2 linked regions of the Danio rerio genome follow. The protein of the gene in region 2 binds, or shares a complex with, the protein of the main gene of each other region. Links are inferred from orthologs where the notes say so. Each region holds a gene or a part of one and is shown on either strand. Other genes may lie near its edges.

Region 1 (3,757 bases), on a different chromosome or scaffold from region 2:
GTCTGATTTGTGTGAGAATGTGGTGCGGCTCCAGGCAGGCAGGCTGATCCTGTTTTGTGGAGACGAGGAACGAGAGCCCATCACAGATTAGACACCCACAGTTTCGTGTCGATTTAATGCACCAAGTCAGGGATTTATTCTTAACCGACCGGCGCTTACAGCACCAGCCAGCCAGCCAGGGCTTTCCCATACAGCCATCTCTCTTCCCCCCCAAGACTGTAGTAGAAGATCAAAAATGACTGAATGAGAACATAAGGATGAATACCCACTATCAGAGCTCCAGACTTAAGTGAAAACACATTCATTATAATCAGGAAAAGCCTTAGCCAGCTATTTATCTGCAAGTTAGGCCACCTATCAGTGGAGAAATGAAACTGAAGTTTTATTTTTGATGCTACAAATTAAAGAAGAAACACAGCAGAGCCACTGGCATATTGTTTAAGTTGAGCTAGTCTTGTAACTGACTGTTAATATCCAGGCATATGTTTTGCACAGCACCACACATTCAGAAAGTTGTTTAAAATTCCAAATGACACCCGAAACAAAATGAACGTGCAAAAAAATCTGTCCTTTAGCCATCTAAACGCACTATGCTCAAATGACTTAAAGCATACGCACTCACATACACACGCGGCGCACTTTCAATTTCAGGCATCAGTACACCACGGCACAAACACATTCTGAGCAGGAATACACAAACAATACACTTGCACAAGCTGCTTTTTCTCTCGCAATCTGTCTCACTTTCTATTTCTCTCTGGCTAACTGATAGAAAGATCTAGTCTTAGTGGGCGGCCGTATCATCACACAATGAGGCATGAAAACATCGGCTAATTCAAGCCTTAGGGCTGCACACATTTACCTAAATGAAGTTAGTGTTCTACTGTGCCATCTATTTTTCTCGTTCATCAGTCTATCCTCTTACCCCCAGTGCCCTGGCCCCCAGTTGGCTGGATGGATCTCGGGGGAAAAGCAGCGAGCCCATGCCTGGGAAGGAGCCTTCCGCCTGGGCTGCTGCCGAGTTCTGTGAACACCTTACCATCATCTTCAGACACTGCTCGCGAGGTGCGCGTTTACAGGGAAGAGGAGAAAAGAAGAGAAGAGGAGAAGAACAGAATGCTAGCCAAGGTGGTAACCAAATATACAGGCTAAAGAAAAAGCAAGTGGCGAAAGGAAAAGAGAAAACTGAACTGCCACAGTGATAAAGAGCCGAGTGCTTACGTTCACATTTACCCTGCACACACACACACAAACAGACACACACACAGTCAGTGCAAGCCCCAGATGGGCAAGTCATCAAGCAAGCTCAGCAGTTACAGCTATCTTGCTTTGAGTAAATGAGAAAATGAAATGATTGTGCGTGGGAGAGGGAGAGAGAGAGAGCGAGTCTAGTCTCTCATCCATTACAGTACGCCCGGAGAGCAAAGAGGTTCTGCCTTCAGCTAGCAGCCGTTTAACTGGACCTAAATGCTCAATCCCTGCACATTCATTTAGACCTGCCACATTTAGAAGCATGATCAAACATAGAAACGTTACGCACAACGTAATAATGAACACACACTTAGAGAAGTGAGGTGACAGAAGAAGAAGAAGAAAATCCGATTCCTTTACCTCATTGCTCAACAAAGCAGCGTTCAGTGTTCGGCTGATTTCAAACATCTTGTTGGTGGTGTTTCGTTTCTTGTCGCTTTGTTGCGGGGCTTTCTTTTTGGCGTTCTCCTGGCTCTACGGCTCCTTTTTCTTTACTGGAAATGGGAATCAGTCCCGAGAAATAAAAAAAGAAAGAAAAATGAACAGATTAAAAAAAAGAAGAAAAGGAAGGAGAAATCCTCTATATGTGCTGTCTGGCTGGATGTATTCTCTCCTCTCTTGCGCCCGTGTTTTCTGGTGCACCTCTTGTTAAATGTGGCGCTTGTGCCCTGGCTCACGCCGCACGACTGAAGAGTCAATATTTTTTTTTTTTAGCTCCCCAGAGTCAGCACATTAAAACAAGCAGTCGGTCTGCCGGGCTTCTTCCCTTATCTGTCCTCCACACACTCGCTCGCACAATGCGTTCCGATCCTCACACTGCTCTCTAGCAGATTAGTTCGTCCCAAAACATAGCTCTTAGTTTAAACTCCTCTCTCTCTCTCTCCATCCCTCAACCCTTTCTCTTTCTCTCCTTCCTTGCTCCCTCCCTTCCTCACACTCACTCCCTCTCTCTCACTCTCTCTATCTCTCTTTACCCCCACCCCACCCTCCACTCGCTCCCTCTCTCTATTTCTCGATCACGCTCTCCTGCAGTTACAGTTCACAGTGTTACCACAAGGTGGGAAGACTGTTCATAACAGACATGACACAGGCACATCTGCCTTTCCTGGCTCATCTTTTTCTCTCTGTTTGGCTTCACGGCTCTCCTCCTGCTGCTTGCGGGGAACACATGATCGCTTTGGCACCCGCACACCTCCATTCTACTCTCCCCTGGCTCCCCCCTGTTCCTCCATCGCTTTGCAACAGCCGCATTTGATGTATGGCAGAGAACAGGGCTGATTTATAGACCAATAGCATTAGGAAAACTTTGACCAGTGGCACCTAGCCGGAGAAAACCCCTCCTGAGATGTTCCCGGAGGATATTTGCGAAACGGGCATGCCTCTTTCTCTGAAATGGCAGCAGAGAAAGATATTGGTGAATTCGATTTTCAAGCTGCAGTTGCCCCAAAAGGCGTTTAGACTCTTATGTATCAAGTCAGTGTATATAAATGCCACTACATTATGTAATGAAATATCAAACCAAGTGGTATTTATCTTAATGAAAGAATCCACTGAATGTTAACGGAATGTACATAGCTTGTGAACGATGCTTTTGTGTGCTAATGAGACATGACCTTGGTTCATTCTGAAAGGTCTAGATACATTTGGCACTTGGTTTCAAACTGTGTTTGAGGCAGTGGTGTTGATGATACATTTAGTTGTATAGTATAGTACAGTTTATACATTTTTACATGTGGTTTGGTGTAAATAGCTTTTAGAGCTGTTGTATATACAGTATATAGTACAGTTTATACATTATGTGGTTTGGTGAAGGAGTCTGATCTTAAAAATTGCTTGTGGAATTTGCTATAATATTTGGTTAGACTTTACAATAAGGTTGAATTAGGTAATAGTAGTTAATGTATTTACTAACATGAACAAGCAACGACCAATGCATTTATTACAATATGTATTCATATTTGTTAACGTTAATTCATTCGTTCATTTTCTTTTCGGCTTGGTCCCTTTTTTAATCACAGGTCGCCACAGTGGAATGAACTGCTAAATTATCCAGCATATTTTTTACTCAGTGGATGACCTTCCAGCGGCAACCTATCACTAAGAAACTCCCATACACTCTTATTTACACACATACACTATGGCCAATTTAGTTTTAATTAATTCAATTCACCCATAGCAATGTTATTGGACTGTGGAGGGAACTACAGCACCTGGAGGAAACCTACGCTTACATTAAAAAACATGCAAACACCACACAGAAATGCCAACTTAGCTAGCCAGGGCTCGAATCAGTGACCTTCTTGCTGTGAAGTGACATTGCTAGCCACTGTGCCACCGCACCACCCCCATTTGTTAACGTTAGTTATTCATCTATTCATTCATTTTCTTTTCGGTTTGGTCCCTTTACTAATCTGGGGTTGCCACAGCGGAATGAACCACCAGCTTATCCAGCATATGTTTTACGCAGTGGATGCCCTTCCAGCTGCAACCCATCACTGAGAAACAC
Region 2 (3,657 bases):
CTTTCTGCAATGACTGTACAGGTCATGTTGACAAGAGGGACCTAAAAGACAGTGATTAATGAGGGTGGTCTTACCCGGTTGTCCTCTGGCATGGTGGGTGCGGTGTCAGCAGGTGTGGGCGATGGGGGAGATCTCTGAGTCTTTTCCTCAACATGAACCTCAGGCTGGCTGATGGGCTCTGCTTTCAGCTCCACAGCTGCTGGCTCCGGCTCCACCTCCACTTCTGGTTCAGGCTGGGGCTCTGGGGTTACAGACACCTCTTCCTGGGGCACCTCAGGCTCTACACTGTAATTGCACAAATGTGTATTAAGACACAACTCAGCAAATCTTTACCGGTTTTTCAAATGTGCATCATACTTAAGAGAGGGTTCCCACTCTAAACTAAAATGCCAAGTTCCCTGATTAAAAAGCTGATATCCATTACTTATAATGAATAGAAAAAGATGCAGCTGTTGTTTCCCTGCAGATTTTAGGGATTAGGTAATAACTGAATTTAATGCTAAATAAATGACGGATATTTTAGAGTAGCTTGCTTTGAAGCTCTATAAGAGCTGCAGCAGATATCATCTAGCCAGCAAGGACATGGTTTAAATACATTCTGCATAGTTTTATATTAAATTGCATTAGATCTGCATATATAAAGCACTTATCCACTGTGTGAAAGTTGACAAAGCACAACAGTGCGTGACATATGACATTAAAGAAACACATACAGCCAAAGCTTATTGGAAGGCCATCTTTGTACTGAATGCTCCATTTTAATATAGTGCTGTAATAATAATATAATCCTGTTGTTGATAAAATTAAATGCTATTTATTTTGACCTTCTAGAATATTTCATTTATAAAACATGTAGTACGCTTTATATGATAAAAGGTAGTGTCATCATCTCATTGTTCTAATTATATAAAACAGACTAATAGTGGAGGTACAATTTTATGAAAAAGAGGTTTAAATGTGTACCTTTTTACAGCAAAACAAGAAATTAATCAACCATTGATGCATATTATTAGAAAGTTTTCTGCCAATCAAAGTCATTAACTCTTTAATTAGAATTGGCATCATCACTGATTTTCACCCTCTGGAATACACCTTTTAAAACTCCGATATTCCAGAAAGGCTTTGAACACCTTGAAGACCTTGTAAAGTCTAGTATTCCAATAGAAACATTTAAACCTGCAGTAACTTGGGCTTACTAAGGTTAATGACAAAACTTGAGTGTATTTTGTTTTGACTTGACACACCTGCATGATTTGTACCCTGCCTTTCGAATGGTTGCCAAACTGAACGATTAAATGAGCTGCAAAACTCAATACAAATTACCATGGTGTCTGTTCGTAATACCCAGAAGACTCCTCTTGGACCACCTCAGGTGAGTGCACTCGCTCCAGCTCCTCCACATCCTCCTCAGATTCTGTGAACAACAGGAGATGAATGAACTCATCTGCTCACAGCGAGAGCAATTGGGAGACAGATTACTCCAAATATGCTAGAAATACCACAATATATCAGCGGTTTACCCTCAGGAGGTTCTGAGTCAGAGTCCCCAAACACTTCATCCTGGTACCGGAAGATATCATTGTGTACGTAGAACTTGTTTGCAACAGTTCCCTAAAAGATCAAAACAATAATAAGAATAAAAAAACTAAAAAATAGTAAGAAAAAAAGCTATGTGCCTCATTTAGTAAGCAACCCCTAATGACTTGCACAAGTAATAAAAAAAAATAAAAAATAAAAAAACAGCTAATTCTTTTCAGGGCTTCAAATAACTAGAAAATCTTAATTGAACAAATGCACTGAATACCACAGCTCAATGTAAAAAAAAAATTGCTTATTTGAAGGACTGAAGATATTCTACAGAATTAGGGAGGACACAAACTAGACCTTATAGCAAGCAAATTTAAGCCAAACATTTCAAAATACAAGTACACAATCACTGACCCCATTCACCTGTGCATATTAGTATTTAATGAACAATTCTCTGTAAAAAATGTATAAATACAAAAGAATATTATTTTAGAATAGTTTGCAGTTTCAAACCAATAGCTTCCCATACGGAATCAAAGGACTGCTGACTGTTTGGTCAAGACATCTTAAATCATTGCCCTTGAATCAGCATGTGCTGAAAATTAGATATGGAGGTGTTATATTAAGACACTTTCTAGAATCACTGGATGATACTCTTCATAAAAATAAAACCACTCTATCAATCTGGAAGGTTTAGTGGTCAATTAGTGGTACACTATCTTGAAATATTGCAGTCAGTTCATATGCTTGATCTTTATATTTAAAATGTAATAAAAGGATATGAGTATGTACATTAACGAACACGCATTAAATGCAAATTATCCGTTAAGTAAAAAGGAAATGGTCAAATTAAATAAATCAAAGTCATGACCATTAATATCACTAGTTGAGTATTCTCAAAGCATGTTAATCTTTACAAAAAAACTTGTAACTGGTCAACTCTATCGATGATGCACAATAATTAAAGCAAAACACTAAGCCCTAACGTCTATATTTCTCAATCATTTTGTTTTATTCTGACATACATTACAATCCTAAAATATACAAATGTATATAAAAATTATGAGTTTAACTAAATCTGAACACTACTTTTATTAAAGGGTAAGTTCATTGAAATGAAAACTCATTTATGTCCTCTTCAGCCATGTCAAGTCCCCAGTGCATGTTTATTGCATGCAAAACAATGCTTGCGTGTAGCACTGCTGACTTTACTCATCTCCATATCATAAAACACATATCTCCTTATTAAACATGCACCCTGACTAACTAACAAAGTAAAAAAAAAAAAAAACATTGGTAAATGTCATGTTTACAGTTTTATTTAGCACACGTGTTCTTGTAGCTTCATATATTTACAGTCGAACCAGTGAAGTCATATGTAATGCTTTTGGTTTCTTTTCTGAAATTTGAAAATCTCACAACTCTTGGTTTTTAAAGACGGTCTGAAAGCTCTCAGAACTCAATCTAAAGCATCTTAAATTGTGTTTTGAAGATGAATGAAAGTCCAATGGGATTGGAACGAATTAATCATTTTTATTTTTGGTTGAACTAATCCTTTAAATCAGGGGTCTCAAACTCGCGGCCCGCGGGCCATTTGCGGCCCTCAGTGCAATATTTTGTGGCCCGCGCCGACCGCTGTACACTGACAGAATCAGCGGAGCGGGGAGAGAGAGCTGTGACGTCAGTGTAGGAGGGAACTCGCGCCGGCCAGAACCAAGGTAAGCTGTTCCCGCCCCTGCCTGCCACTTAGCTACCTATCTGCATCCTGCCACCTACCTAGCTATAGCCTGCATCTTATATATATTATAGGTAGATACAGACTGGTACAAACTGATGTGACTGGAGTGGGGTGGGGGTGTTTTATTTATACATATATACGCCTTTTTTTTAGGTGAGGGAATGGAAGTTTTGAGTGAGTTCCCGCAAGCCATACTGAGGGTCTCAACTGCTTCCGCTCTAAAGCCAAATGTGGTTCAGATTTGTGAGAAGCACTGTCAAGTCTCTGGCAGCAAGGAGTAGGCAAAAGATGCCATGTTCAGAAGAACTGTTCATAATCTTCACTCAATGTTCTATTAATGTTCAGGACACTTCATGTTCAGAAGAAATAATTAAAACTTAATAATGACATTT

Evidence for each region. Proteins that work in one complex are often made in the same cells at the same time.
Region 1: g3bp1 (region 2) and elavl4 share a complex: the UniProt entries of both Homo sapiens proteins name them as parts of the TAU mRNP complex. The link is inferred for Danio rerio from reciprocal best matches to the Homo sapiens genes G3BP1 and ELAVL4.

Annotation. Positions count from the first base shown.
Region 1 is NC_133183.1:17,770,388-17,774,144, reverse strand, and holds the start of elavl4 (ELAV-like protein 4), read right to left. Parts: upstream 2,140-3,757; 5' UTR 1,660-2,139; coding exon 1,612-1,659; exon of another isoform or gene 1,055-1,611; coding exon of another isoform or gene 926-1,054; intron 1-925. UniProt on the Homo sapiens protein: RNA-binding protein that is involved in the post-transcriptional regulation of mRNAs. Plays a role in the regulation of mRNA stability, alternative splicing and translation.
Region 2 is NC_133189.1:30,203,034-30,206,690, forward strand, and holds part of g3bp1 (ras GTPase-activating protein-binding protein 1), read right to left. Parts: intron 1,612-3,657; coding exon 1,521-1,611; intron 1,415-1,520; coding exon 1,324-1,414; intron 286-1,323; coding exon 75-285; intron 1-74. UniProt on the Homo sapiens protein: Protein involved in various processes, such as stress granule formation and innate immunity. Plays an essential role in stress granule formation.